Linked DNA regions of Oreochromis niloticus. The protein of the gene in region 1 purifies or fractionates together with the protein of each later gene. This does not show direct contact. Links are inferred from orthologs where the notes say so. Each region holds a gene or a part of one and is shown in the gene's direction. Other genes may lie near its edges. The genes, in order: pan2 and pan3.

Region 1 (16,267 bases):
AAATAAAGAAAGAAAAAGAGAAGTGATGTCATTGTTATTGACCACGAGGTGACCGTACACTATGTTCTGAAGAATTTAAGCTTTTCGCGTCACACATTTCACACAAACAAACAAGAAGCACTCTGAGAGCGCAAACATCCGCCAACACAGGTCATTTTCTGGGCAGTATTTACTTTTATAGTAGTAAAGAATTATTGTATTATGGACATGTTCATTTTCTTTTCTTTGTTCTTTTTACATGTACTTTAAGGAGTTTGTAGTGCAGTAAAAACAAGCATACAGTACAAGCTTTTGTTATTTGCTCTGTTGAAACCCATTTTAATATACCTGACATAATTTTGAGTATATTTATTTGTTATTTTTGTGGAAATAGTACATGTGTAGCATTCATTTTATTGTTTATTAAAATTTGCTTACATTTTTAGTAAATATCAGGTGAATAAAGTTTTTGATCACAAATTTTGTTTGTTTTTTAAATATATTTGTATATATTGGCAAAAAAGTCTTAGAATGTATTTAGTTTTCAAATCTTTGACAAATAAATTAAATAAATTAAGCCGGCCTTGAAATTCTCAGTGAATGTAAGCCAAATTTGAATGGATTGTTAATAAGACCCCACTCTACAGCCCTACAAAGTTTTATCAGAATTCACTGAAAACTTTTCAAACTAGTTTAGAAAAGAAGGAAGGAATAACCGATGCTCACGCAGACGCTACCAGAAAACATAACCTCCTTGGCAAAGGTAATTATATTTAAGCCAATTTTATTATTATTTAACGCAAGCTGCTGTTTTCAAAGGTGGGAATGATTGAATAGGTCTGAATGTCACTATGGACAAAAACCACATCTTTTATAATGAGTATGAACTGATGCCCTCAGGAAAAAGGTACAGGGTACCAAACCACATTTTCTCTAGTGCCATTATCAATCAGATTATTGAATGGGAGTGGGTGGTTGCATGTGGTAATGAGGATTTGTATGTGTCTCATCTCCTAGATGACATGTTTCCCCCATTTGTCCAAGGTGAATTTCTTCCAAGGGAGACAATAAAGGCTAATCTAAGAATCCTCTGATGATCAATTGACATAATCATAAACAGTGAGTGGTTCAGAATCAGGGACACTGAACAGCTTTAGTTTCTGCAACATAGTATGCACACTCATAGTATGGACAAAAAGAAAGAAAAAGTGGATCATGAGTTGCTGTTTTGACAACTGCTGTTTGAGTTTAAATAAATAAATATGATGTTATGGTTACTGACCACTGGATGACTGTACAGTATGTTCTAGTATGGTCACACATTTTTACACAACCATCTAGTTATGATTTTTTTTTTTTTTAGCAGTAATTCTATTAACTGATTTGAACTGTCCTTTCCAAAGTTGGGAATGAATAACTGCTCAGTCAACATAAATCAGGGAGACTGAAAATCTTCAGTTTCTGCACAATAACACACTTAAATGAGTTGATCTTTTGATACTGCTGTGCAAAAGCAAACAAAAAACAACCAAAACATTAGCAGCTCTTCAATCCAGACTGAAATTTTTAACATTTACATTTTAGATTTTTATCATACAGCAATGGACTTGGGGAGAGAGAAGACAGGAGTTCATGATATGCATGATGAATTAGGGGAAAAGGAAAGAAATGCTCAGTGCATCACTGGAAGTTCCCCAGTCCTGTCAGCTTCATCAAAAGGAAAAGCTTGAATCCTGATCTTAAAAGCATATGATTACATCTGATTGCCAATGAGTGTATTGTGTCGTATTTGGTGATCTTTTCATTTTGCAATCTAATTGGTTCGATTTATTTTTTTAAAAAGGAAGAAAGTATGACTTAATCCCTTCAATACACCGCCCACGATTTTTTAAATGCTCATAACCGTAATTAGAAAAATCTCTCGAGTGACTAATCGTAACATTTTTTGAACTTCCTGATTGCATCACAAATCCTCTGTAGAGTAAACAGTCTACAGGCACGTCACGTCTCATACAATAACAAACCATGCAGGTGATTTAAAAAAAAAAAAAAAAAAAAAAAAAAAAATGTAACACTGATCCTACCCACAGACATCAAAAGCATCCATTGCTCTGATTAGTGTTGCACCTTAAATGCTGTGTGTGTGGTTCACATCTGTCATTTTTCTGTGTATTATATTTGACCTGATTAGTTGTAGAGCATTTTTCAGTTTTTGCAAATGTTCTCAATAGGTAAATAATTTCCTCATGTGCTCTGAGAGCCAGGAAAATAAGTTCTGCTCTCCAGCAGTGGATGGAAACGGTAAAGTATGGAGTTTCTAACTCACAAAGAGTGCAGGTGGGTGGGACACGAGGGAGGCGAAATAATTTCAGGATATCAAATCACTCACACTAGGAGAAACTTCCTTGTTGAGCAGCCTAGTGCCTTTACGCTCACAGGCCTCATTACTACTTCCTCTTCCCCTTAAAACGTGTCACCTTCTCTCTCTCTTTTCCCCTTTCTTTGAATTACTGCTGCACATGCGTTGCATCATCTGACTGCAAACAAACAGGTCTGAGCAGAGGCGTTGACTGGGAGGAAATATGCAGGAAGTAGTGCAGCAGGAATGTTTTAGGAAAGCACAGCTTCCTTTTAGCACTATAACATTATTATTCAAAATTATTCAGTGAAAAGAGGGATACCTCTGTACAGGTAACTTCATAAATTTCCTGAATGAGTAAGCATTTATTGTGATCGTTTGGGCAAAAAGAACAATCGCCATAGGATAAATAATAAAAAATATTAAATTTAAGGCTCAAAACACGTTCTCATGCGTAGCAGTTTTTATTATTATAATAAACATTGTATTCAATTTGAATGAAAAATACAGAGGTGAATACAAAAAGTATTCATTGGTTATTAGGGATAAAAATAATAAATACAATAAATAAAACTTTAATAAATAGATATCAAATCTTTCGGAAATAGCATTAAAAATCGATAAGTTATTAACTACAGAAAACTGCACTACAAACTGCGATCACTGTGATCAATTTAAAAGACGCTCAATACATTGAGTGTTTAAAATACTGTGAGGTTCTACATGCATTTCTGAGTCGTTCCGTTTGTGTGGTGAACCGGATCTCCAACTGAAAGGACGCGAGCGGTGAAGATTGAGAAGGAGAAGAGTCTGTCCAGAGTGTAGTGACACAGATACGGCTTCTCCCACTCCCGAATTGCTACTTCTTCACCGACGGGGAGATCCTGCAGAATCAGAACGATCAGTAAGCCTTGTCAGTGCTGTTGTCTAAAACAAATAATTGAGTTTGCGTTGACCAAACTTACCTTCTCTGCGCCCCAGTCTCCCTTCGAATCAGCGCATTTCGTCACGTCTTTGTGCAGCTTATTTATCACTGGCATCACCTGGCTGGCAAACTCTGAGCAGTTTTCAAATTCAGAAATCCTCCTCAGCAGACTTCTGTAAACGTCAAGGACTTTGATCATCTTCCCAAAGCATGGCTAAGGACGAAGAATAGACAAAATGAGTAGAAATCACACCCAATCAGATAACATATCGTATTTTGAAATCACAGATTTATGTCAATTTTAGTTCAATTCAATTCATGTCACAGTTTATAATTCTTATAAGTGATATTACCAGAGATTGCTGTTTGAGGGTCTCAGGATCACACATGTCTTTCGCCTCCATCCACACAAGTAAGGTGCTAAATGGTATCTCTTCTCTCGTAACTAATCCCTTTCGTGCCTGCAGAACATTTGGAGACAGTCGGTATGAGCGCGTCGTGGTAGAATGTAATGCATCTCCTGTGAGAAAACCTTTAAAACTAGACTTTTTAAATGTGTTTATTGCTTTGCCATCGTCTAAGCGTGCATTTGAGTGAGCAAAACATATTCCAAATGCGCAGTAAAAAGTTTTTTCCTCCTCTACTAATGTTTTAAAAGGAGAAATTAAGAAATTGTTTGAAGAAGAAAAAAACAACTTACCTCCAGAGATACATTTCTAGCAATTTTATTAAGTTCCAGGGAACTGGCCTTTACATCAACGCAAAAGTCTTGATGTCCGGCTGGAGCAGAAGATGTGATCGAAAAAAACACAAAGGACAAAACAACAAAAGTAAACGAGAGCGTCATGGTGCTTTGTCAGTTGCCTCCTGGTGTGCGATTCTGTCTGTGAGAGAGGTGCTGGTTCTTTAAATATTGTCCCGCGTTAGTTAGAACGCGCCCAGTCTGCGTGTGATTTGAGAATGAGAGAGCGAGGGATGCTTTTAACTGGTGTGACTCAATACAGGGTTTCCCAAGGGCTTCCCTCTCAGGTGTGGACCAGACTACACTACTACGCAACAGGAAGACAGGAAACGCATTAGGTAATTTAGAATTCATTGGAAGAAAGCAAAACTCCGATCATAACAATGATATTCATAAGCTTGCAAAATCCACGTCTTTCCCTTTTTTTAATTATTGAGTTGCTCTAATCACACATGATATGAAATTAGTCAGCGCCACCACAGTTTCACGCTTTACTGTTTGTGATAAGGCTACAAGCGAAAAAGGCCAACTGACTTAAACAGTTTCACATCTGGGCATAGTCATGCTGAAAACTGCATTCACCGGTCACTTAATTGGGGACACCTCGCTCGTACCAGCCTTGTGCAAGTGATTTGCGATTTTGTTGTTTCTAATATCTTTGCTCGTGTTAATAAATGCCATGTATATATGTTAAATATATATGTTATATATAAAATAAAGAAATTACCTGTTTTGCAAGTTTAGCTACTTGTGACTGCGTTGTTGTACAATACCTACTTTGTAGGTTTATAATCAACTAAGCCTTTTTGGGCACATAAAATATCTTTATATGAATTTCATATTGCCACCCTCTTGGCAGGATCTCTCTTGAATGAAGTATTTTAACATCAATTACACTTTTTACCAGATACATGAAAAAATATGTCAAACTAACTGGCTGGTGATAGGAATGTTCTTTTTGACTCAAAATGGCTTGATATCATTCATGAGAGATGTGTTTGGCATTTGTTTAACAGGTTATAGGACAACAACAAGTCATTTCCCATTTTTATTTTTATTTGCAGACTGTGACTCTTTGGCACAAGACCTGGTCTAGCCCCCTTTTTGTGCCTTCAGCACAGTCTTAATTCTTCATGTCATATAAACATCAAGATGAAGGTGACATTTATCAGAGATTGTGGTCCATATCGACATGATAGCATCAAGTAGTTGTTGCAGATTTTGCGGCTGCTTAACCACGATGTGATTCTCCACCAGATCCCGAATCTCGACTGAGATCTGGTGACTGTGGAGGACATTTGAGTACAGTGGACTCACTGTCATTCAGATAAGGCTGCTGCCATCAGCTATCAGAAGATGGGTACACTGTGGACACGGTTAGCAAAAAAATTCGGGTAGGTAGTGCTGTGGGCTTTAAACGATAACGCTAAAGAGCCCAAGATGTCGCCGTATTACGCATACATACAATACAATACAATGAAAGAAAGACAAAAGAAAAAATCCAGGCTAGCAAAAATGTTATTCACAGTCTTACAATGTTCATGTCTTCCCCTTTATGGGTCGCTTTAATCGTGTAATATGAAATCATTCACAATGACCACATTTTTCACTTATTATGTGTGAAAGATTACAAGGAAAAAGACATCAACTAAAGTCTTTCTAATCAAAGTTTCACATCTGGCGAGGAAGTGAGAGTAACCTTTGTATCTCAGGGCGATAACAGGGCGAGTTCTCTATACATTATTGGGCAAACTTCCCGTCTGTGTCCACGATCTGCCCCTCTTCACTACCAGAGAAAAACCAAATCGTCTGCTTTTTTCTGAGAAAGAAAAAGTTCAGGGAAGACATAAGATATACACTTCCTTTATCTTTCCCATTTCTGTTCAATATTATTGCGAAAACGCAGGGGCGCACAAACACTAATGATTTGATCCTGTTATTGATTTACTGGCTGTTTATTTGTCAATTAAAAAGCTTTGGTAAGAGACTATTTCAGATTAGGAGAAAAATGCATAAAGCTACCTCCATCAAATAGCTCATCCTCAGCTGATATAATAAACAGAGTTTTTGTCCAATCAAGAAAGATCAACACGACAGAGGATCCGAAAATTGCGGGTCAACCATCCCTTTCACACACTCTGTTGCTTTGATGTTCCCACTGCTATGGGATTTTTCCCCCTGAACAACGTCAACATATGCTGCTATGTAAACCCCTGGATCACGTACAGTCCCACTTCTCTGTGTCCTAGTTGTTGCTGGGATTAATCACTTCCAACTTGTGGCTGCGCAGTTAAACCACGCGATGCTAGGCACTCACTGTGACACGACCAGGGGAAGAATATGAACTGAAACCAAGCTGATTAAACTTATAATATAGGGAAAATAAACAAGAGTGTGTTGGTGTAATCAAGGCGGCCGTTATTATTATTATTATTATTACTTAATCTCACTTTTAACTGTAGGGGGAGGGAGAGGACATGCCAGAAAAGGTTTGAGAACCACTCAAAAATACGGCAAAGACATGCCCAATAAAAGCATAAACGTTACAGCTCCTCACTTAAGGCATGTGAGAAAGCCATATTATGCACATAATTCTTATCACACTTTGTCCAGGAATAAAAATCCAGAAAAAGCTCCTGCTCAGGTCGTTTATGGTCGGTTTGTGCTGTTATCAAATGGTGCAGTCCTCTTTATCTTTCTGCTTTGTTATTTTCATCAGCAGCGAACAATTACTTTAATTATCCACACGCTAAATATTTCGTTTAGAAATAATTTGTATGCCAATAATTATTTATTTATTAGAAAATATTGGAACACATCCGGTAGGTGCAGGTGTTTTACCAATGCAGCAATCCAAGATTCAAATATATTTAGTTTAATGTGATATTTTTTAAAAAAGAAGAAAATTGGAGGGAGTTCTTGCATTTCACAGAGTTTGGAAGTGATGGATCATAAACTCGTACTTCCACAGTTTATCGACACATGCAGGTGAAACACCACGGATACCTTTCTGTAAAAAAGAAGAGCCATCATGGTTCCATCATAGTCAGCGTGGAATACCAGTTTCTATTAACTGCCACATTTTATTATTTCTGCGCAATTCATTTTAACATCTTCGCTTTAATTTGATACTAATACATATTTATTTAAATATATCATTTCTTTTAACACTCCACGTTGATTTCTGATCAACTTCACCCTTCACTTTCTGTGATGGCAACCTCCACACCTAACCACTAGTTGCTTCACTTTAGTTTACTCTGCAGTCACTACTTTAAATATATTTTACTTATTGTCCAATATATTGTTTCTTTATTAAATGTATTTTTTTCCATTACACCTTCCAGTGTTTATATGGAGTGCACACATATCAATACTCCAAGGTCAAAGTTCTGTTTTATGGTATATTAATCCATCTTTCGTTGTCTGAGTTACCTGGGGGTTCTGTTTCTCCTTCCCGGTTGGCAAAAGGTGTGGCAAAGGGCTGGGGGATCTGAAGTACTGCTGACAGCCTCATTGGACTAAACCACATGCATCATTGCCTCGGGGGTGTTTGGAGTTTGTATAATTGTTTTGTGTTAATTGGTTATATGGCAGCCACTTTGGTTTCCCCTTGTCTTTTATATGATTTAGCTAAGCCAGTAAGTTCCCTCTATTATTTCAGGAGGCCAGTTTTTCTTATGTTTGTTTGAGATTTTATTAGTGGTTATTTTGAGTTTAGTTTATTGAGCTCTTTTATTGGTTTGCCTGTTTAAGTTTTTGGCTTTGTCAGTTATTTTTCATATTTTTGGATCTATAAAACCCCATTTTTGACTTAAACACCTGTGTCCTCTATGCATTATGGCTTGGTCCCTGAGAAGCAGTATAAGAAAATAGTAATATGTGTGCCTCTTGGCATAGGCACACATAATAAGCATAAGAAATAAGAACTTTTTAGGCACAAGTAGTTGAGTAAACACCTCATTTACCTTACAAAGAGACAGGATTTATTTTTAAAAATAAATGATTGCCTTTGCGTGGACACGAATTATCACTTTTTTCCCTATGTCTTCACTATCAGTGAACACGGCTTTGTGACTAAGAAAGCGGGGTAGCGTCACCATGATAACCAGGAAAACAAAGATTTAAAACTTGGGAATTTGTTGAATTTTAATTCAAACCACAATTTTTCTCTAAGCCCAAGGTAGTATAGTTTTTAATTCCTAAATATAAGCAAGCGACATATTTTTTAATTCATTGCGTAGTTGAATTGATACAAGCCATGTGTGAAAATATGTGTATGAGTCTAAATCCACCGCCTCCAACCTCATCATATGGAATTTTTGACATCATTATTTTTATGTCGATGGACACAGATAAGAGTGGACTGATGAAAAGTCACCAATTTTGATTATTTCCCGAAGTGCGCTGAATGGCTGGCCATCAGTGAAGTGCTAAAGAATTATTATTAAACATAGGCTGTTTCTAGCATAAAAATCAAAGTTTATAACACGATTTTCTTCAGTGTAAAGATTAGTTTAAAATAAGGTTACATATATTTTACTGAATATAATTTACACATTTATCCTAGCTGTAGATGAAGAAATACCATATTTTGAATTATTATTAGCTGTTTTTAATATTGGTTGAACCACTACAAATTTGATTTGACATAGCAAACGATAATTAAAACTATCTGTGAAAGGACGAGTAATCACTGGCAAAGCCCAACGAAAAACAACCAAAACACGATGTTAACACCTTCATTGACTTCAATATGTTCATGTTTCCAGAAATGCCTTATGCAATACAGCTACTGGCTTTGACTGGCTTTGTTTGTTCATGTTTGTTCATGACATGATATAAAATGAGCCTGAATTGTCATCACACCTATGATGGCATGGAAATTTGAGTATAGAGAAAAAAAGTTTTAATTGTCACCTTTCTGATGATGAAATTAATACTGCGTCATTTTAAAATTTCCCTTTGAACTCTGGCATCCCTTAATCTGACTGGAGCGTATCCCAGTTACCATAGTGAGGCGGTCGCCAGTCCTTTAGAGGGCTAACCCAATATTCACAGCTATGGGAAATTTAGAATCAATCAATTAGTCTAACCCCGCTAACTGGATGTCTTATGACTGTGGGAGGAAGCCGGAGTACCCTCAAAGAAAACACGCAAGCACGGGGAGACCACGCAAACTCTACATAAAAGGATCCTTTTGACTTGTAAGATTTGTGCAGTAATTGTTAGTTTGTACAATAAAAAAAAACAAAAAAACAACTCTACATAAAAGGAACCCGACCTGAGTCAGTGCGCCCCAGGGCGGCTGTCGCTACAATGTAGCTTGCCATCATCTGTGTGTGAATGGGTGGATGACTGAATGTGTAAAGCACTTTGGGGTACTTAGGGACTAGTAAAGCGCTATACAAATACAGGCCATTTACCATTTACCATTTTGAGTCGAACTCAGGATCTCACAAACACACAAGGGAGTTCACGGTGCCTTCACGTATCATGCGGCGCTAGGTTAGAGACCTAGCCATACAAAGAGAATAATTGATGATCGTATTACATTAATATATTATTAGCGCTGTCAACTTAGCTGTCAAGATAACTGAGATGTTCCAAAACAACTCCAAAATGACCTATAAATCTCATGTGCTTGTCTTTTTTTAATGAAAAACATAAACTATGAACTATGATTAATAAGATAATTTACTAGTGTTTTACTGAATGAATAGCTACATCAACTTGTGAATTACAGCAATTAAAGTTAAAGACTGAATGAATAGGCCTACTATGAAATGTGCGTCTGGCATAACAACGGAACCCTACGCTCCAGCGCGGTTCCTAAACGCACCAGAGGTGCCCCGGAAACGTTTTCCAGTGTCCGTGTGTTTGTTGTTGTGAATGAAGTGTGAGCATGGACACCTTTGCAGTTCAGGTTTAGGTAGGTGATCACCTTAAATCGGTCTACTTTTAAGTTTAAGAAATGGGTGGCACTGTTTAGTATAATAGGTGTCGCACAGTTTAGCATGAACAGTTCAGGTTAGCCACAACGCTGCTAACATTAGCTAATTTAGATAAAGGACACAAGCAGCGTTCAAACACGGCTAAATTAGACACTACTCTCGTGTGTATTTTATTTTTTTAGATTATCTGCCCTATGTACGTTTTAGAAATGGATACCAGAGAATTGTCTTTCGGGTTTTGTTCCCTGTTAGCTTTAGAGTTCGCGTTTGTAAGCTACGTCAAAGCTAGCATCAAAGCTGCAGGATGTTTTTGCAGTTTCTCAGTCATCCAGGTCATTGTAGTCTTCAGCGCCTGCGTTTAGGACTACTGGACTTCTTCTTAGGTTTTTTAAGATGTTTCACCTCTCATTACTTGTCCAGCTTTAAAAATATGATGGGATATTAAGTCAGTGTTAAGTCAAAGAAACAACCTCAGATTTTAACCAAAAAGAAACGAAACAAGACTACCGTCTTGGAAAATGAAAAACTCGAAAGAACCTTCTCCAAGCCTAACATCCTAACATTAGAGCACTTCAAACCCAGCCACAAAAAGACAAAGACAAACTGGTTCCAAACCAACACTTTAACATGACCCCAGTGTCACTATTAACATGCGTTGGCGTTTCTCTTTAGGTTGATTTAACTGAATCCATGATGAACTTTGACGGTCTCGACCCTGGAATGGGTGAATACTCAGCCAGCCTTCATGGAACTCTAGATGCAGGCCTGGAGCCCTCCATGGACCCACACCTAAACCCAAACCTACTCCAGGGTGTGGAGCTGGACCCAGAGGGACTGGCTGTGACTGTCCCTGAGCCTGTACACCTGATGGAGGGGATCTTTTCTGAGCTGCACAGTGTAGTTTCAGAAGTTGGCATCCCTGTCACTGCAACACATTTTGACCTGCAGGAGGAAATGCTCTGGATGGGAAACCACAGAGTGAGACCCAGAATTATATTGGAGGACAGATTGTTTCGTCAGCCATTACACTTTGTAATATTCCTTTTTTGTATTCTTTTCAGGGTCATGTAACATCGTTCTTTGGACCAACAATGGCACGCTACTCTTCTTTCCAAGTGCATGCCACCGATGACATCCGACATATTCAGAGTTTGGAAACAGGCGTGCTGTTCCTTTCTAAATGCAACCTGAGATGTTACACTCGTGGAGGCCTCGTCATGTTTGATTATCCGTAAGTGTTCCACAATATTGGTAAGAAATTAGAGAAAAGACAACATTAAGGGTCCTGATGAAGGTTGCTGCAAAAATACAGAAGAAAATCTGTCAGTCGATATTATTGTGAATCCTACCCATCATAAATAGGGATGTGTTTTTCCACCTGTCTGTTTTATGCTCATATTGATTTTTAATGACATGGAGCTGTGAAATTATTTTTAAGGTTAAGGAATTAATGGCCATTTTTGGTGCTTTGCAGGATGGAGGAAGGAGCTGATATGCACAGTCTCCTCATGACTGATAACAACACGCTGCTCATGGGTGGATTGCAAAACTATGTGGCTGAAGTTGACTTGAATACAGTCCAAGAAACTCAAAAAGTAAGACATCAGGCTTGCATTTATCAATATTCGCAACTCTCTATGCTTGCACCACTGCCACAGCATAGGACTGAATTCACAGCAAGTGTCTGACTGTCTGCTGTCTTGTTTGTCCTTCCAGTTCACAGTGGAGGTACCTGGAGTGGCAATAATGCGTCAGACCAATCGTTTCTTCTTCTGTGGGCACACTTCTGGCAAAGTAAGTCTCACATTATTATATCAGTTTTGAAAAAATATATTTATTAGTTTTACATGACTCTCACATTTACCCTCCGTTCAAAACAGGTGACCCTTCGTGACTTGCGTACCTTTAAGATGGAGCATGAGTTTGATGCATTTTCTGGCAGCTTGTCAGACTTTGATGTTCACGGAAACCTTCTGGCTGCATGTGGATTCTCCAGCCGAGGCCTGAATGGGTTGGCGTGTGACCGTTTCCTCATGGTGTATGACCTCCGCATGATGCGTGCTGTAACCCCCCTTCAGGTGCATGTGGATCCCCTCTTCTTGCGCTTCATTCCTACCTACACGTCACGGCTTGCAATCATCTCACAGACAGGTATGAACTAAAGAGTTGAGTCAGCTTTAGAGTTCTTTAGTCTGATTGCTTGTTAGTTTCCTTGGTTTGTTTGGTCAATATAAGTGAAATACTAAGAAGATTAAAATTTTGACATTACAGTCAAATGTATTTTTTTGTCTTTTTTTTTATGTACAATTTTGTAAAAACTCTGTCTTAATCTATTATTTTTCTTTTTTCATAACTTTGACATATGTTTCCTAATATCTAAATTGTTCAACAACAGTTGCAGAGGTTGTGCTTGTGTGCTTTCTGTCTACACAGGAAATCACTCTCTGCTTATCTGGCGCTGCTTTCTGTAGTGTTACTTCTCTGAATTTGAGGTGCTGCTTCAGAGTACCTCTCCACTTTGGGTAGTCAGCTGCAAGGTCTTCCCTTGACTGATAAGATGCCTAGAATGCGACTGTGGTATCATACGTGAAAAGGGGTTGAGTCTTTTCCCACCTGGCGTATGTTGTCCAGGTCTTAGTGCTATAGAAGAGTGTGCTCATGACACAGGCAATGTACACAATTATTTTCATTTTAATGCTGTCTCAAATTTGTACAGTGAGGCCAGCAAGAGCTTTAGTGGCATTCCTGTAGTTGACTGCAGTCTCTTATGCTTTCAGAAACTGGTACATGTGGCAGGCAGGGCAACATGGTGGTGTGGGTTAGGTTAACTGGTGATTCTCAGTTGACCATAGTTGTGAATGTGACTGGTTGTCTGTCTCTCTGTGTTGGCCCTGCAACAGTCTGACAGCCTGTCGCCCTATGGTAGCTGGAATAGGCTCCAGCCCCCCCACCTCATGACCCTGAATTAAAAGTGGAAGAGAATGGACGGATAGTACATTTAGCTTCGCTATAACTGCCTGCATTCTCTCTTTTTCCAGGTCAGTGCCAATTCTGTGAGCCCACCGGCCTTGCCAACATGGCAGATATTTTTCACGTCAACACAGTGGGCCAGTTGCTCATGAGTTTTGACGTGTCAACAAGCAAACAAGCCTTAGCCTTTGGGGATTCAGGGGGATGTGTGCACCTTTGGTCCGATGCTCCAGAAGTTTCATTCAACGACTACTCACGGGAGACGGAATTTGCCCTGCCCTGCCTCGTGGACACACTGCCTCAGCTGGACTGGAATCACGACCTGCTGCCCCTCTCTCTGATCCCCATGCCGCTGACGAGCACTGAGCCTCTGCTGTCAGACTGGCCCACTGCCCTGGCTACACCCAGCCCCAGGTAACACAATTATTAACAGTATATACAGAACTGTTGTACTTAACTTAAAAACTAAAATTAAAAACAAAAAAGTCACCAAAAACTGAACTGAAACACACACTCTGGAAAGTAACCCGGATAGAAAACCGAACTGTTTCTGTCTGTTCATCAGGGTCACTATAGTTTATCTCAAACGAACTCTACATTACAATGTCACACTTCTCAAAACACAAAGAAATGCATCAAAGGCAGAAAGTGGTTCCAAAAAATACACTGTTGCCAAGACTAAGTTCCCAGCTGTTTTAGGAATTTATTTAGCCTCGGTGGAAAATTAAACTATAGGTTTATGACGTGTTTTAAGGAAATTTACATTTTCAGCAGGAACCTGTGGGCTCGGGGCTGGATGCCACAGACAGAATAAGGAAGTTGGAAAGAATTGAGAGACAGAGTAAAGCATTGTTGACTTCAGTTTTTTAAGGATCATTTTTCTTTAAAAAAAAAAGAAGTGTTTAAACAGTGTGGAGAAATATCAAACATTTTCAAGCTTTTCTGAATTTATATGGTAAAACCAAACCAGGAAAGGGAAGCTGGATCAATGGAGATGTACGATCTCATGTATGACATAATTGTTCATACCATAAACATATTACTTGACAATCTGGAAGTGGTTAATTTCTCTTTTCTGCAGTCATAGTTGATGACATTACCTCTGGAAATGCTGACATCTGTATTTGAAGTCATATATTACACACTTTATGTGAAGGTACAGAGACGCGTCATATTTTACGACACTAATTAAAACATGTAAACTATGGCTTGAAATTGGTTGGATTTTTTTTTTTCGTGTTCAGATTTTGTTAAGTTTGTGATGCAGTTGGTAATTTATTTATTTTTTCAATGAATATATGAATTTAGTCGTGTTTCACTATTAAAGGCACTTCAGAATGAGAAGCATGGCTTGTGGCTGCCCCCTCCCCCTTTTCCCCTTAACTGCTTTACAATCTAAAACATGTCTTTTTTTTTTAAATAAACAGACGAGCCCCTCCGGTGGACCCAGAAATCCTCCGCACTATGAAAACTGTTGGCTTCATTGGTTACGCAGCAAATCCACGTACCCGCCCCAGGAACCAGGCATGTGAAGAACTTGGTTATGCTAATCTAAATTGGGAAAAAAGAATTTTAATTGTCCTTCTTTACAAAATCCTAACAATTTTTCTATTTTAAGGCTGAAGACCAGATAAACACATGGTTTTCAACATAATTTAACTTATTTTTTGTTCCCTGTTTTGGTTTCAGGTTCCTTATAAAATTAAAGATGTGGAGCCTGATTATGATAATTACAACCAGGTCCCTGAGTCACCAATAGGACGTGATGAAGAGCCACATCTTTACATGGTGCCCAAAAAATATAGAAAGGTTGGACTTTATTTCATTCTCGTTCTCATATAGAGATGAGATTTATCTTTGAGGTATCACAATCTATAAAGTGTTGCTTTAAATTTAGATTTCCAAAACACATGATGAAGATGTCTTTGTTCTGCTTCAGGTCACAATTAAATACTCTAAACTTGGATTGGAGGACTTTGACTTCAAACATTACAACAGGACCTTGTTTGCTGGCCTGGAGCCACACATTCCCAATGCCTACTGTAACTGCATGATCCAGGTAAGAAACTGAAGATTTACAATGTAAAAATTTACTTTTTGATATGAGACATCATCAAGAGTTGCTCTCTGGTTTTTTATTGATGTCTTAGGTATTATATTTCCTGGAGCCGATTCGGTGTCTTGTTCAGAATCATTTGTGCCAGAAAGAGTTTTGTTTGGCCTGTGAGCTTGGCTTCCTCTTTCACATGTTAGATTTGTCACGAGGAGATCCATGTCAGGTAAGTTTTTTTCCATTCATCTCTCTGAAATTTTTTTTTTTTTGACTTGATAACTATTCAGCCTCTTGGGAAATACAGAACCCTTAAATTGAATTCTCATTTCTTTGCAACTGGACAATAATTTATTATGTAGCTTTCCCAAAGTACCATCTCCTATCATCTTCCTCAAGGCCAGTAACTTCCTCAGAGCGTTTCGAACCATCCCCGAAGCCTCGGCGTTGGGCCTGATCCTCTCAGACTCAGACGAGCAAACGGGGAAGGCTAGGCTTGGTCGCTTGATCCAAAGTTGGAATCGTTTCATCCTCACCCAGCTTCACCAGGAGACACAGGAGCAGGAGGGTCCGCAAGCCTACAGAGGTGCTAGCAGCAGGTATAATACATCAATCTGGAGGTGTTCTAGGCTGAAAATAATTTCAGGTAAAGGTGAAAGTAAGCACAATGGTTAGCGCTGCTTAGAGAAAGAGTCCTGGGTCTGTGGGTTTCCTCGGGAGCTGGTGTTTCTCCCATCCTTAACATGTGCTAGGTTACTTTACTATTCCAGTCACTGTGCCCTTGCCAAAGCACGCATGTATGGGTGTTGTGCCTGGGGACCAATGCTTAGAAATAGTTCGATTGTTATGTTGTCATTATCCTTTGACAAAATTCTCTTTCTGTGTGTGGTGATTGTTCAATAAATACAACCACATCCAAAAAGGCATCACAATACAGACATAATTACATACATCTAACAATGAAGTGACAGTAACATTACAAAAAAATTCATATCACCTGGATTTATTTAACAGTATTACATGAGACTGTATAAAAGATCAGACGGGTACCCTGACAGGAACTTGTACCTCTTTTGAGAGAAAGTGAATCATCTGCAGGATTCCTAACTCTTTCCCCACCGCTAGTCACTCACAGAGCAAAAACTGCTCTGTGAGTCTTACTGAACGTATTCCAGTCTTATTAAGTTTGCTTGTAAAAGAAGAAACCGTTTTTTTTCCCTACAGGGATCTATAAAGGATAACATCTTCATAACAAATGTGACTGCCCTGTGTTTGTGTTGCAGTTCTC
Region 2 (16,376 bases), on another chromosome or scaffold:
TTTGTAGCTGCACAATAAAAACTGGACAAAAAAATACTTTAAAAATATATATTTTATCAAATCTCATTTTATTGTAAAAAACGTAATTTACCAAAACTGCTTGGTATGCTTGAATATAATATAAAGCAAGTACATTCTACTCTAAATTCTTAGGTTAGTACCGTATTATCAGTATTATTATATAAGCTGTTGGATATATGGATGAAAAATAAATGTATAAAGGCGATCACTCTGCATCGGATGGTTTCAGAAGCTCCTTCTCAGCTGCCACGGTGTCTCCGTCACATGTTTCTGCTGTCTTTTCTTCAGTGGCACAGGTTTGACAGTAGTCATTGGTGGCCTGGGTCTTCTTTTCTTCGCTTGCTTTGGTCAAGGCAGACATGTCCACGATGGTCGACGCATTCTGGTAGTCGCTGGAAGTCCGACTGATTGTGTTTTGGTAGAGCTGAAAAAGTGAATGTTGGTAGTGATTACGCTGCTACATTCCCATATGTGTTTGAGTATAATTTAACACAAATATAGGCCTACATTCTCCTCTCGGTCTGTGAGCAGGTCACACAGGAAGGACACCAACTTGGAGAAAGAGGGGCGGTTAGCGGGATCCAGGGCCCAACACTTACACATCATCCCATACCTGCAGAAGAACATACACAACACTACTGACTTAATAAAAGCAAAAGTTATATTTAAAAGTCCAGAATAGCTAAAGTTTCAAAACAGAACAGAAACAGAGTATTATTTTTGATTTTTACTGATGTATTAATGTGATTCTGTCTTTATTTGAATCCTAAAATAATAGTTTTCTTAAAACAACCCATTACATTTATGAAACATTTAAGATGAGACTTACACAGTTTCATTGGCATAGTATGGACACTCCATCTTAAATCCTCTCTCAATCATTGAATAGAACATATGATCCACCTTTATGCCCGGGTATGGAGTGACACCTGAGTCAAACATCATTGAGACATTAGAACTGATTGTTTATCTTTTGAATGTGCTGCTCACAATGAGTTAATGTTTGTGAAAGTTACCGAGTGAGAAGATCTCCCAGAGCAGAATGCCATAAGCCCAGACATCGCTCTTCATGGTGTACATTCCCTGGAAGATGCTCTCAGGAGCCATCCACTTTACTGGCAAACGCACCTGTGAGACAGCAGAGCTCAGTCACCCACCCGCAGTGATTAACATAAGAGTCAGTGAATAATATAAAATGACCATAGTATCATCCAACATACGTTTCCTCTCACGACATAGTTGGAGTCGTTGTCGATGTCCCGGGCGAGTCCAAAGTCACCGATTTTCACCTGCCTGCCGTTTGTCACTAAGACATTTCGAGCTGCCAGGTCCCGATGGATACACTGCAGACAAAAGGAGCAGTCATCAGCATATGTTTTGTGTATTTATTTTGATATGCAATTTTATTTTAGTTATATTTAAATAATTTCCCTTGAACTGTGCGGTTTATAAAATTCCAAATCTCCCAAATATAGATATATTATGACAAAATGCAAAGAACTAAGAAACCAACACAGGTGTTTCAGGTTAAGTCTGCCTATTTAGGTCTAAATTGATCATCAACACAGAGGAACTAAAAAGACTAAATGTGTTTCTGCAGAGAGGCTGGGTGACAGAGGTTTGTCTGGTGTTTGTCGCCTACATTCTTGGAGGAGAGGAACTCCATGCCTCTTGCCACTTGGAAGGCAAAGCTCAGCAGGTCATCAAAGGTCAGGGCTTCCAGGTCTTCCGTCTGCTCGTCTGGGGTTTCAAAGCTCTCTGGATCTGCAGATAAATTGTGTTCAGCCACCATTTCTGAATCTCACAGTAGTGTGTCAACCTCTGTTCACACATACACCTTTTTTTAAACGTCTTTTTTTCACCATGATAACGTGCATGCTCTGCTGGCCTTATTATCACGTTTCTCACCTTCACAGCTGTCCATGTTGTCAGAGTTGATGGTAAGGAGTGCGATGTCCTCCTGCCCCCCTGTGGTAGCGGTGTACATAGGCACGTAATTATCCACTGGTGCTTCCAGCGCACTGAGAAAAGACAAATGTAACACAACTGTAATGCCACACCAACTTTGCAGAGAATAATTTAACAAATAAACAAAAGGCAGCACTGATATAGAAACCTGTCTCACCTGGGGCATTTCCTGAGCTGCAGGTTGTGGTAGAGGCTTCTGAAACGGTCTTTGTCAAAAGCGTCAGTGACAGACTTGTGGTAACGTTCACAGTTGTTTTTTAAGTAATTCAGCAGGTCTCCATGACAGCAGTACTGGAAAATCAGGTATACTGGTCCTAGATGAGGGGAAATTAGGTTATTTTAAAACTTCTGTTTGACATTAATATACAAGATCATGACTTGCGCACAAGATTTATGCCAAATAATCAGAAACCAGTGCAGTAGGTCTCATCTGAAAGATGAGATTGTGCATGTGTTAAACGCACCAGAGTCTGTGCATGCACCGAGCAGGTTGACAATGTTGGCATGGTGTCCAATGTGAGTTAGCATCTTGAGCTCTGACATCAAAGCCTCCTTCTCCATAGTCTGGTGTTTTTCTGCAGAGTCAAGTACAAGATTAGCACTTTTAGGTATAACCCCTTTTAACGCTCTGCATTTCACTCATGAAACGAACACCAACCTTTCAGCATCTTGACGGCCACCTTCTGTGAGACTCCTGGCTTTTTGATGCCATAAGCTGTAGCCTGGACCACCATGCCAAAAGCTCCAGAGCCCAGTTCTTTACCTGAGGAGGACAGAAAAACGCTCAAAATTCAGTTTTGTTCATTATATTGACGAAGTTTATCGACACGTTGTAATGAAATATGAGGGAAAAAAGTGTTCACATTAAGTTAGTTTTTAGATTGAGCTTATTCCATTAAAAACTAAAGACAAATGATTGTTCTGCAATATTAAACCAAAGAGTTGCGGCCTCTTAAAGGTGTCCTGTTGGGGCCCCTTGACATGTTTCACGTATCTATCTGGTTAGAAGTTCCGGCAAAGAGACATTTCCTCTTTAAACGTGGTGTGTTGCTGAGTTCAGACAACACTTTGAGGCCCAGAAAGGTAAAACTCTTCATAAAAAAATGAAAAGAGGAAAGTCTGAATATTTCACAGATAACACATTTATGTAGAAGAACTTTTTTTCCTCTTTTTTCTGCTTCAGTCTGTAATTTTGCAAGCCCTCAAGTACGTCTTGTTACCATTTGAAGGGCCTCTCGTTCTTTTAATGGTTTCAGAGGTCTGCTAGCAGCTAAATCAATAATTTTACATATATTTGAATGTTCTTTTAAACCTCTTCTTACTGACTGAGTGCAAAACTTTACATTGCATTTATGTGTTGATGCATATATTTAACCCTGTAACCTAGTTTACTTCATACCCAGTTCAAGGTTCTCCCTGGGAAACTCCCATTTCCTGTCATACTCAAAGTCCTTGAAGTTGATGTAGATGTAATCATTATCACTGGGTCCAGTCATCTGGATCATCTGAAGCTGAGGCTGATATTGGGGTTTCTGCTGGAAACATAAAAGGTTTGGTGTCATGTCTTTGTGTGTGTTTGCATTTAAATGTATGCTGATACAACTTATTTATATTTACCTTCTTTTTGATAAAACACATGAGCGCCATAATGGCGACTATCAAAGCCAGAAGCAGAACCACACATACTTTCAGCAGGAAGGAGTTATCCTCAGGTGGCTTACCTAAAAAATAAAACAAAACAAAACAGTGTGAGCATGAAAACTTTTAGATTTTTTTTCATCAAATATTTTCAGTAAATATATTCATTAAAGATTTGTTATTACCAATAGAGGACTGAGGTGGGATAATCATGAAATGGGTTTTGCACCAGGTTCCAACTGAGTTTGTCAGACAAAACCTGAATTGGTCTCCTTTCACCACGTCTTTGCTCACTGAGCTCTTGATCGGCTTGTTGCAGGAAAAATTAGAGTCTGTTTCAGAGACTGTTTTAGAGGCATTTGGGAACTCATCCCAGGACGAGTCTGTTTCACAGCTGCAGTAAAACAAAGTAAAAGGAGTTTAAATAATCAGAGCTAAAAATGCTCTCTGAGCTGAACGACTGTGCAGGTAATCATACCTGTCATTGGACTTAGAGCAAACCATCCAGGTATAGTTTGCTGGCACCAGACTGGCAGTCTCAAGGTTGATGGTACCATCATCCTTATTAAACAAGAAGTTGAACTTTGGTTCATCTGGAACAAAATCAGATGATGTCAAACATAATTACATTTAAATACTAATAAAAATGTAACAAAGGCTACATTAACCCACCTACAACACACACTGATATGGTCTTTGTTTCCTTTTGTCCTCCAGCCTCCAGGTGTAACTTATAATCTCCTGATATGAGTGGATCACAAAGCTTCACAGTCCTGAGAAACAGTTCATTATAGACCTCATATCACATGATTACACTGGACAGCAGCAGTTCTCTGTTGCTGCTCATGAAAAACGTGAATGAATGGATATTTTTACACTTCTACATGGTGACAGTTTGCTTCATTGAAGTACCTGTGCTGTGTTACCCATGTCTCCCTGACACATTTAGTCCTTTTTTTGTCAGGAGTCTCCCAGGAACAGTGCTGGAGAACAGGATGGTAGGAAACAGTGGCCTGCAAGCAGGTGCTGGATGCCTCCTGAGCTGATATGATCTTGGTCTCATCCAGCTGTGCAGAGAGGGAAACTTCATCTGAGGAAACACAAGAATAAACCAGTCAGATTTATTCAGTGGGAACAGTTTCAAATAATAATGACATGAAATGAAGTCTACTAACCCGAGACATGAACATCAACAGACTTTGAGTTTTTATTTGTACTCGTGCAGGTGTATGTGCCGCTGTGCTCCTCTCTCACTGATCTGATGGACAGGTAGGCCATCCGAACACCATAATGTGAGTCATTTTTAATGCACATCTGGAAGAAAAAAACCATAATAATGATCATTTGCAGGATGATTATCAGTGAAGTACTTTGTGTCTCAGACTGAGTAATATTAAAGAGGTCAGTCAGTTTTCAGACAAACATAACAAGAAAGTTTAAGGAAACTCTCCCTGATTACAGGACATTACTGTACCTCCTCCTCTGGTTTACATGACAATGTCCTGGCATCGAGCAGTCTTCCTCCTTTCTCCCACACAGGTGGTGTCAGACTGTATCCGTTTACTCTGCAGCGAAGCAGCAGAGACTGACCTTTGCTCAGGGTGACAGTAGATACCTCATCTTTGTTCATTACACTGCTCTGTAAGTCTGAAACACACATCAGGGCCTCAAGTCAAAAATATATTTGGCAGGCAGAATTTGTCATTTACTTCTCTGAGATTAGTTAGTGAATCTCTGAGTAAACATTGTTTTTTCAAGTATTTGAACCAAATTTTACTCAAATTAACTCCTGTAATAATTTATGGATATATTCTTTGTGGATGTATTAAATTTGTTATTAGTTAATTTAAATCCAGTTACCGTAGTCATACAGTTGGGAGCACTCTTGTCCTTCAGTATTGTTTGCACAGCACATCATTCCTATATCATAATATTGAGCGCTTGATATTTTGCTCTCTGTCTTTCTGTCACTTTCCTTTAAACTCTGTTTTACATCCTTGTTACTGTTCAAACAGAGAAAAAAATTGTTAGTGGTGTAAAATTATGTAAAATTATATTCGCTGTGTCTTTGACATACATTATTATCAAAGCTTGTCTAATACCATCTATCCTAACCACCTACCAAAATAAAGCATCTCTCTAAATGATTCAGTCTAAAATCAGACATTAAGAAGTGCTGCTATTCTAAAGTTTGCATAAAAACGTAAAGGACAACGTCTTACCCAGACCATTGGATTGTGGGTTTGGGGAAACCCTCAGAGACACACTTAAAAAGCGGGGAAGTATCTGACACGTCCACACCATCGAGCATCAGCTGTGGTTTTGTTGGACGTTTTGTTGGAGGTTTTGTTGGACGTTCTAAACAACAAAGAAAACAATTAAATTCATTTTATTATCACTAATTTATGATCAAACAGATTGTTTGAGTATTGTCGAAGAAAGAAGGTGAGAAGCTGTTACTCACTCATTACATAAAGAATCACAGTCGTGGAAAACATGGTGGCATTTTTGGATTCACAGGTCAGAGTGTACGCCCCTGAATCTGTCTCAGAAAGCGGTGATGTAACCATGGACTGACTCCCATTTCTGCTGAGATTAAAGGAAACGTCTCAGTTTAATTGCATAAAAAGATAAAAGCACCCAAACAGAAACACAGACGGTCACTTACGCTGTCATTACTCGGTCTTCTCCTCTGATCCAGTGGCAGACAGGAGATCCAGAGAGGCCCTCCAGGGAGATGATGAGTTTCTTACCCACAGCCAACTCTTTGTTGATGGAACCAGATTGATTCTGATAATCAGCTGGTAGCAAACATGCTGCCTGAAGAACAAGACCCACCATTTAATCCTCCTTTATTAAGCAGCAATAAAATAATCACTGATGGCAAGATGTTAAGAAAATGGTTTACAAAAACACATAAAAAGGTTGATTTAGCAAATAATTGTCTGAAGTTGTAATAAAAGCTGAGAGATTGTTAATCACCAAACCAAGCATAAACATTGCTTCAATTTTACATATTAAGACAACATAAAAACACATAAAATATTAGAGTATATAATTATTTAAGAAAAATAAAGCAAAAATGGAGAAGCACTGTATGAAAATCAAAGTAACTATTTATTACTTCCACAGGATTTAAGAGGGTAAGTAGCGGTCACGTGCTGATCATCAGTAATCATGAGCACCTCTATAAAACAAATGTTTCAGTGGTTTTCTGGTCTGGAGCATTCAGGCGTGAAAGAGTAACAACATCAACAATCATCTCAGTGAATGAATTGTTGCTCCCAATCAATCTGGGAAGGGTTACTCGGCCATTTGAAATCCATCATTCTACAGTGAGAAAGACTATTTACAAGTGGAAAACAGTCAACACAGTTGCCAATCTTGCCAGGAGTGACGTCCCAGCAAAGTCACCCCAAATTCAGACAGTGCAAACCTCAGAATCAGCAAGAAGCTTGTGAGCTACACGTCAGTCTCTATTGGCTTCAGTTAACATTGTAATTATTAAAGTTCATGACAGTACAATTAGAAAAAGACTGAACAAACACAGCTTGTTTGGAAGGGTTGCCAGAAGAAACCCTTGTCTCTCTAAAAATAACATGGCAGCCCAGCTTAGCTTTGCAAAGTTGAACAAATCTGAACATCTGAACAAACCCCAAGACTTCTGGAACAATGTCCACTGGGCAGTTGAGCCCAAAGTGGAGACGATTAGCCGTCATGCACAGCACCACATATGATGAAAAAACTAAACACATCATATCAGCACCAACACCTCATACCAACTGTGAAGCATGGTGGTGCAGGGGTGATAACTTGGGCTATAAGAATGACTGATGACCTCACACAGAAAACTATTATTAAAGCTATTGCTGCTAAATCTTGGGGGTCTACTTATATTTTTAAACACAGCTTCTGCATTTTGACTCAGTATTTGTTAAACAAATAATGTCACTGCTAAGTGTCAGATGATTATTTTAATTTGTCCTGTCATGTAAAACCATAGAAACGAAAGTGGGTATACTTTATTTTTCACACAACTACATGTGTGAAAATATTAAACTATGAACTGGTTAAAAAAATGTCCATTACTTTTATAATGGAATAAAATTTGGACGCAGAGTTTTTACTGAAATGAGACAAAGTGACAGATTTCGAGAAATGAAACAGGAGTACCATTTCCCCCTGTGATGTTTTAGAGCATTTTGTTGCTCTGCATTTTTGTGTTTCTGCATACTCATGAAACAATGACACTGTCATTAGTGAAAATAAGATAAAGCTACACAAAGTTTGAAGAATATTTTCTTTTGTTTATACAAAAAAGTGCTTTAGTGGAATTACTTCATATTGGAGTTCTAATGGTTTGTGCATATATTATTTACATTTATTTTCTGTCAGTTCAGCAGTTGTACAGCATCTACTAAATTGTGTTGTTTTTCCTCATTATTTTCCAGTTAAAGCAGCTCTTACTTCATGATTGGGCACAGATGGTTGGGTCTTCCCATCATCAGACAGTGCTCCAACAGCACACAGCAGCAGAACAGCTGGAGATACAGAAAATGAAAACTTCAGTTCAAACAAATGCACATTTCCCGAATTATTAGAAATTTACTGGAAAATAACAAATTAAACAGGAATTGATTATTTAATTTTAAAGAAAATACAGCTTAAGTAAATAAGCAAATTTGAAAAAAAGCGCAATGCAACACAGTCATGCGGACAAATGAACTGATGTGTTTAGTGCTTCCTGTGAATTTATTAATGGCACAGTAGTAATTTTTTTTTATTATATTAAAACAGAAATGTTAAACACTTATAAACTATAAAAATCACACAAAGTGTAATTTGTGTTTTTTATAGGGACACACACCTATTATTTCGGATATTTATTTTCTTTCTGAGAGCATCATATGTCACCTTATATGAACTACAAATGTTAGCCTTAACACTTGTCAGTCGCTGCTGAGCCTTGAAGTTCCTCAAACTGAAAATGTAAATCTTGATGTCAACCCAATATTTTATATCTGAATCTTTATTTCTAACATGCTAATTTTAAATTTTTGAACCCTAACTGGTAAATGGCCAAACGTGAAGCTAAAAGTTGCACTACTTCAGTGGCAATAATTCAGGCCACAAAACAGGGATTTGAAAGAGTCTTACTCACCCGCAATCATATTTTGGTGCCTCGGCATTGATGCGTATTTTCTGGCTGGTTTACATGCTCACTCTGTGGCTAGACTGGCGTACAAGACGTCCGTATGTGCCTTATAAATAGAGGAAGTATAAGACCATTGGATGACGCTGAGAGCCTAAAATGTACACGCGAGATACTGTCAATCCGCCAGTATAACGTTGTTGGAGATTTAAAAAATGGAAGTACAATAATTTTTTTCTGGGTGTTTTCATTAAGAAAAAACTGAAGAGGCTGGTTTCTACGTTATCAACATGACAGAGAGGGAGAAGAGAGATATTGTATGCATGCTGGGAAATATTTGTACCATAATCCAGTAAGACCAAAAATAAGAAGTAATTTCTTTTCTCTTTCTCTTTTTTAAAACGTATTTTAAAATGTTCTATCATGTTTGCATCGTTTGCTTAATTCTGAATGATAGCCGCGCTAAAGAAAAAAAAAGAAAATTTCCCCCTATATCTTTGTCAACATCGCAGATACCTCAAATTTAGTTTGCATCCAGCAGGTACAATTTGCTTTACCCACAATGCACAGCTATGCTAGCGGCTCTGTAGCACAGCACAGAGGCTGTGAGCGGAAAAAACAACAACAACAGGCTACTTTGCGAAGGCAGCTGCATGGATAGCGACAACAACAAAAGCAACAACGACGACCAGGATTTCACATGCAGTGATATTTCCTCAAACCAAAATGCTCCTTAGCCTTAGAATGTGAGTACTCTGGGATCTTAAGTGTTTTCCATCACCCGAAGTGACATTAACACGCTCCTTTAAGTGAAAACTGGTTGAAAGCTAGCGGGCTAGCACGCTAGCTTCCTGCATCTCTCTATGTTTGAGCGTCTTCCGGCAGCAGTGGCGGCAGCAGCAGTGCCATGAACAGTGGACTCTCACCTTCAGCTGCTCCGCTCGGGGGTGCCGGGATACCTAATGTCAAGGTGAAGTTTTGTCGATACTACGCAAAAGACAAAACCTGCTTTTATGGAGATGAGTGTCAGTTCTTGCATGAGGATCCGTCCTTGGCGAGTTTGCCGCTGCACGGCGGCGGCGGCAGCCCTGTCCCGTTGTCCATGGCCGGGGGTGGTGGGACGCAAGCGGGGTATTCCCTTGGCGGCTCCGCGGCGGGCTGCCCGGGCGGTGGGGGCACCGGCGTGCCCAAGAAGAGTGAAACATTGGGGCCTGCGAATACGTCTCTGGAGGGGCAGCTGTTAACCAGTGAGTACAAATTACTGTAAACCAAGGCCTCGTGCATGGTGACTGACTGTGACTTTACTTTCCGGCCTCACGGAGCTTTGTTAAAATTTAGCCCGAGGATTCACTGAGGCCTCTCAGCGCCAAAACAACGTGGTTTACTTTTACTTGCCAGACATTAGCAAAACAGCCCAACGTGCAACTAGCATATAACGCGCTCTTTAACTGTCGTCTCACAAGTTTTGACTACACGTTGTGTTACCAGTATCTTAAAAACACAAAACATGAGCCATGCTGCTGTAGCCGAGGAGGCCTGTTGTGTTGTGTGACAGCTGTGAGTGGGCAGAAATCCGCGTCCCACTAACGTTAGCTCCTGCAGCTAATAGCCCGCTAGCGTTAGCTAAACTATGTTTAAACTGACCACTTTAACTTATTCTACCTGTTTGGGTTTCTCCTCCAAAAAGGAGAAATGAGTGTTTTTATCAGCACTTTGCATTTTCTTCTTCACTTAACTTAAAGTGAAGTTTAGTGTTGTTCTCCAAGTTGAGTCTTTTCTAACACTAGCCTACCTACGCTAACGGTTTAGTAGGCATTGTTTTTGTGTGTTGTGTTTTTGTGTTTAAGTAGCATGCACTTTGCAGTCCTGCATTAAAAGCTGTCCTGGAAGTATTACTAAAAAAGTTTGCTGGTGGTAGCTAACACCTTGGGTCAAGCTTCAGCTGCGGCTCACTGTTTACATGCTTTCAAACTGTGATTGGCTGAAGACGCACTCAGTTGCGCACACATTAGCATGAGTGCATTACCTTTTGGACTGTGTAAGCAATTATCTCTAACTGATGTCGGTCTGGCTTCAGTCCTAATCTGCAAAACTCTGCTTTTGTTGTCATCTACAGTCCCAGGGATGGAAGGTGCAACCCTGAGCGATGCCAATCTTACCAACTCTTACTTCAGCAGCAGCTTTATTGGGGTCAATGGATTTGGAAGTCCAGCAGAGCCTAAATACTCAATGATGCAGGTACAAGAGGGCCGCTGTAGGTCTGTCACAGTAAATATACAGTTAAACAAACTGAAAATGAATTTATGCGTGTTTTGTTTTGCTATGTTAGGAATGCAATGCGTGTGAAATTCTGAGTTGATGGTATACCGGTCACATTTCTGTATTGAGTTTGTTGTTATTGCGCTTTTTTTTTTCACAGGGAAGCATAAAAACAGCTTCACAATAAACCAAAGTCTTCAAGTTCTCCATCACTCCAACTTTGAACATTTAGCTACTGTGAAATCGATGTGACACAATAGGTTAACGTCAGCCACTGCCATCATTAAGTTTCATCTTTTGCTGTTGGGAGTCATCGAGGCATTTACTGGCGGGTATATCGCTACATCCCCAGTCAGTGGTTTCCACATGTACGTGACTGGCAACATGGTTATGTTAGGGTTGAACCTTATTTCATTTCTTTTTTTTGTGCCGTATGCAATAACTTTACTAGTAGACAATGCCCTCAGGCATGTTTTTGAAAGTTCAGATGCTGCTAACGAGCTAAACTCGACTCTGCAGGTGGGCTGGGTTGCTTTTTGGCTAGTGTTTAATATCATTGAGCTGCCTCTCCAGTGAGTCTCTCATCTTGCTTTTAGACCAGCTCTGAATCCTTTGTCTTGGACTGTGGCTAGTGATGGTAGTCCTTGTTCTGCTCTCTGGGAGATCTGTTGTGAGCTTGAGGACCACTCAAACCAGAACCTGGAGCAGGTGAAGAGCTGGTTCGTGTGCTCCTATTTCAAGCTGACAGAATGCTGCAGAGCAGAACAAAGCGTGACGTGACCAGCCCAAAGCAGTGAAGTTGGACTATATCCAAAACCCTGGCCTCATGAAAGAGGCAGCTGAATTTGTAGATTAGTTATTAATTTGACACCAACTACTTTGGAACTAAAACATTTATAGGTTTAATTCAGCAACTGGCTACCAGCAGCTCCAACCTACCACCACAAAAAAGTTTTAGGTCTTTGAAAGCATAATTGGAGACTAAGGCCATGCAGTTAAATTATTTTATGGTATTTCGTTGTATTTTGATGAACATAATTGGACAGCGCGGTGCTTTTTGTAACACATATCCTCTGGATGCTCCTCTCCTTAGCGAATGACTACCAGCAGCAGCTCTCCCAGTCTTCTCAACGATGGTGCCAAGAACTTCAGCCACAGCACTCATGGTAAGCTGTATTCAGATATCTTTGAGGCACTAGCTGATACTCATCCACTGTTCCACAGTTTGGAAGGGGCCCTTAACACTTTGTGCTTTGCAGATCCAGTGAACTCCCCGACATCCTCACTGTTCAGTGATTTTGGTGCTCTTAGCATTTCCCAAAGGAGAAAGGTGAGCGTACAAACATCGGGTTATAGCATTAGAGTTCTTTAAAGGTTCAGGATTGCATTTTTATATAAGGAAGTACTTGAAGCCAGACAAAGATGAGTTAATTTGCCTCCAACAAGACTGATAGACAACTTTTAATTTTTGCATTGTTTTCATTTGTGTTGGCAGGCTCCTAACCCGGCAGCGAGTGAATTCATCCCTAAGGGAGCTCCACGTATGGCCAATATGGCTCAGTCCACTGTCCAGGCCTTCCCCTCACCTCTCTTTGCACATCCTGGTCTCAGCGGCTCCACAGCTGCTGCCCTGGCTCCAGGTGTGGGTTTTTTTTTGAGAACTACTCTCTACCTGAACACTGTCTGTTGGGCTCAGTTTTGTTTTTCATCTTTAGAAATTGTAATACTTGAGTTCGTGAGGGATTTCCCTCACATATTACTGTGAAATTAAATCTTTTCCTAAGAAACATTTCTCACATTCTGTCTCCTTTTTCAGGAATGTCGTTGTCTGCGGGATCTTCTCCTCTTCACTCACCTAAAATTACACCACACACCTCACCTGCTCCCCGTCGACGCAGTCACACCCCAAACCCTGCCAACTACATGGTGCCCACCACTGCGTCTGACCAGGGTGCACACATTATCCAGAAAGAGACTGTAGGGGGGACGACCTACTTTTACACAGACAACACCCCGGCACCAATGGCTGGGATGGTACGAATACACTCTGCAGATGCATTCAGTCTCTTTAAACACAAAAAAATGAATATCACTTAAATCAGTCTGCGTTTTTAAGTTTTGATGTAAATGTGAGTCTTATTTAATAGGCCGCATTGAGATGTAAATTCATGGCTGTTGACTCTGATATTACTGTGGCCTAATAGGGAATGTAATTTGGGTTTTTTTTGTTTTTTTAATAACATCACCAGAGTTTCATTCTCTCGCATTCATTTACATAGCTGCCTGAAAACAATATTTGTATGATCAGACTGGTTTCCACTTCTCAATAAATAGGAAGCTGTGTTTTCTTTTTTCTCATTTTATTGCAGGTGTTTCCTACCTACCATATCTATCCACCCACGGCGCCACATGTGGCTTACATGCAGCCGAAAGCCAATGCCCCGTCCTTCTTCATGGCTGATGAGCTTCGACAGGTATTGTCCTTGTTAACCAAACATTCCCCTTCTCTTCTCTGAAGCTTTATAACTGATGTCTTGTCCACTTGTTTCTTCTTCAGGAGTTGATAAACAGACATCTAATAACCATGGCCCAAATTGACCACTCAGAAAATCCAGGTATAGCATCTACATTGTTGACATGTTAAGGGATGCTTGTGACAACTGACCTTAAACATGCGCTTATAAAACTAAATGGCTGTTTCAGTGTTCTATTTTCTATATTTACATGTAAACAAACCAGCACTGGTGCTTTTTGCAAGTGTGATGTAGAGTTATTCTGTCCTGTTGGTGTGAAATATGTTGGTTGTGGGCTCTGTGTGTATGTGTTTAGTGTGTGTCAGTTGCTAAGATTGCAACTATCACAAACGCATCACGTCAGCAGTGCTGTGGAGCAACAGACAGCTTTTCAGTGTCTCCCTTAAGGCACGTGTTGCAAAGTCTGACTCAGATTCCGTTTTAAAATAAATCAGGCTAGTAGGCAGTCAGTTTTTTGTAAATAGCTGATCCACTAGAGATGATGCCACACACATGTTGCTTTTGATCACAAATCCTTGAGCTTTTATAATAGAGTGAATGTCCATTTCAGGCTCAGTCTTGTTTTACTTTTGTTTTCTGTCACGCTCCCACTTCACCTTCTTCAGGGACTTTTTAAAAAATTCTGCTGGGTCTGGTTTTCACAATTATTCGAGATAGCTTTTCCCCAGACGGTAAACTATTGGTCACTAACAGGGAAAACAAGATTTCTGATTGTTTTGCAAACAAGCTTTTTGTACCTCAGGAATATAAACTTTCCAGTAAATTAAACCAAAAATCTTGTTTGTTGCCACTGGGGTTGGGCGATTGGACGAATATATCGACTATCAACTATAGGTTGAGCCCATCGGCGATCGTTTTTACGAGGGCGATTTATTTATTTATTTGCCCATGAGTAAGTTTCTAATAAGGATGGAGCTAATAGAAGCAGCCAACAGAAAAAACAATAATAGCGCTGTTTTAACAGCACCCTCTTTCATCTGCGAGCAAATGCACTCTCCTCAGAGTGTGCCCAAATGCTTGTTGATGGAGCTGCAGAAGCTGGTGATAGCCTAGCATACTCAGCCGGATGGTGGACACGTACATGCTCATGCAAGTTAGTCGTGTTTGACTACTTTGCTCGCACACCACTTTGGTTACATGCTTAGGTTTACCTCTTTCATCCCAAATTGGCAACTTCATATTTTTTTTTTTTAGTGCTGTCAGCATTAATGCGCGATCATCACGACTAACGGGATTAACAGTTAACACATCTGGAGCGCAGACTGAGTCAAAATTCCTGAAATGGCTCTGTCAGCGCATTTCGGGCAGTTTGTCCAAAGTTGGTTCATTCTGCGCTACAGACGGTTGAGCACGTTAAAAATTTTAATCTCGTTAATCAGCCCTAATTTTGGGGGGAAATTAGTTTGTCCATCTTTGGACTTCTATGTTATAAATGCACAAATTAGTCCGTGCTTGGTTATATTCCTCCGCCTATCAAAATGTCTATGCATGCGTGAATATATTGCCCATCGTCGATTATTGGACTAAGGATTGTCGGTTGGAAAATCTTTACATATCGCCCAACCCTAGTTGCCACTTACATTTTAAATCTTTTACTTTGTGTGCAGTATGTGGTGTTTTTTCCCCTCTCTAAAAATGCCTGTTTTTGGTAGATGTACCATCTGAGGTGGACAGCTATCACAGCCTGTTTCCCCTCGAGCCCCTTCCCCCACCAAACCGCATGCAGAAGACCAGCAACTTCAGCTACATCACCTCGTGCTACAAGGCAGTGAATAGCAAAGATGACCTACCGTACTGCCTGAGGAGGATACATGGTAAGAAATGCTGTTCCAGCATTTCTAATATTGTAATGTTGTATTGTAATGCCCCTCCCTGAGCCTGGTTCTGCCAGAGGGTTCTTCCTGTTAAAAGGGAGTTTTTCCTTCCCACTGTCGCCAAAGTGCTTGCTCATAGGGGGTCATATGATTGTTGTTTTTTTTTCTCTGTATGTATTATTGTAGGGTCTACCTTACAATATAAAGAGCCTTGAGGCGACTGTTTTTGTGATTTGGCGCTATATAAATAAAATGGAATGAATTGAATTAAATGCTTTCATGGGTGGACTGCAGCTCTAAACTTTCAATACATTACTTGGGGGGGAGCTGTGACTCAGTCTGACAGAACAGATTTTTATCTCGTAAGCGCCGTAATGCAGTGTCCACTTAATGTCCAGTTGAGAGAGTGTGTGTGTGTGTGTGTGTGTGTGTGTGTGTGAGAGAGAGAGAGAGAGGGAGCTGATTTGACAAAACTAAAAAATCCCGGTGATAATGGCTTTCATGACAGTGGTTATCAGCTGTCTCTGTTAAGACGACTTTCTTTGTCAGGCTCTGTTTCGTTTACATAAAAGGGGAGTTTCACATATCATCTGACACTTCTTCACAAAATAATCCCTATGAGTGCCGCCTATTCCAATAAGAAGCATGTAAGATGAATATGATGATGATAGAGACCATAGCGGTAGAAATGTTATAGAAAATAATGTTAATATTTGGATTTAACTCACAGAGCAATAAGAATTCTTTAATTTGAGCGAATTATTTTAATGCTGAGGACTTTCTGCAACTTTAAACTCCATAGATTTAAACATTAAAGGTTACCTTCCCACAGCCTAATAAAAGGAGTTGTGGAAGTTGCTTTAGTTTTATAGCAGATAAAACTGAATATTAATTTTATTGATTTGCATTAAGTGTCCCAGGTGTGTGTGTGTGTGTGTGTGTGTGTGTGTGTGTGTGTGTGTGTGTGTGTGTGTGTGTGTGTGTGTGTGT

The links.
Region 2: the proteins of pan2 (region 1) and pan3 purify together in Homo sapiens (co-immunoprecipitation; 5 studies listed by BioGRID and IntAct, with this or other methods). This does not show direct contact. The link is inferred for Oreochromis niloticus from reciprocal best matches to the Homo sapiens genes PAN2 and PAN3.

Annotation. Positions count from the first base shown.
Region 1 is NC_031984.2:9,597,078-9,613,344, forward strand, and holds the start of pan2 (PAN2-PAN3 deadenylation complex catalytic subunit PAN2), read left to right. Parts: upstream 1-9,804; 5' UTR 9,805-9,937; intron 9,938-10,631; 5' UTR 10,632-10,649; coding exon 10,650-10,937; intron 10,938-11,020; coding exon 11,021-11,190; intron 11,191-11,433; coding exon 11,434-11,554; intron 11,555-11,675; coding exon 11,676-11,753; intron 11,754-11,839; coding exon 11,840-12,110; intron 12,111-12,997; coding exon 12,998-13,343; intron 13,344-14,356; coding exon 14,357-14,453; intron 14,454-14,618; coding exon 14,619-14,738; intron 14,739-14,868; coding exon 14,869-14,988; intron 14,989-15,079; coding exon 15,080-15,208; intron 15,209-15,378; coding exon 15,379-15,578; intron 15,579-16,262; coding exon 16,263-16,267. UniProt on the Homo sapiens protein: Catalytic subunit of the poly(A)-nuclease (PAN) deadenylation complex, one of two cytoplasmic mRNA deadenylases involved in general and miRNA-mediated mRNA turnover.
Region 2 is NC_031974.2:18,997,220-19,013,595, forward strand, and holds the start of pan3 (PAN2-PAN3 deadenylation complex subunit PAN3), read left to right. Parts: upstream 1-9,686; coding exon 9,687-10,026; intron 10,027-10,895; coding exon 10,896-11,017; intron 11,018-11,082; exon of another isoform or gene 11,083-11,406; intron 11,407-12,131; coding exon 12,132-12,204; intron 12,205-12,297; coding exon 12,298-12,368; intron 12,369-12,533; coding exon 12,534-12,678; intron 12,679-12,854; coding exon 12,855-13,072; intron 13,073-13,407; coding exon 13,408-13,512; intron 13,513-13,595; coding exon 13,596-13,653; intron 13,654-15,224; coding exon 15,225-15,386; intron 15,387-16,376. Other genes in the region: receptor-type tyrosine-protein kinase FLT3, read right to left, coding at 227-445, 529-634, 851-950, 1,038-1,149, 1,242-1,364, 1,664-1,785, 1,930-2,042, 2,147-2,303 and 16 more. UniProt on the Homo sapiens protein: Regulatory subunit of the poly(A)-nuclease (PAN) deadenylation complex, one of two cytoplasmic mRNA deadenylases involved in general and miRNA-mediated mRNA turnover.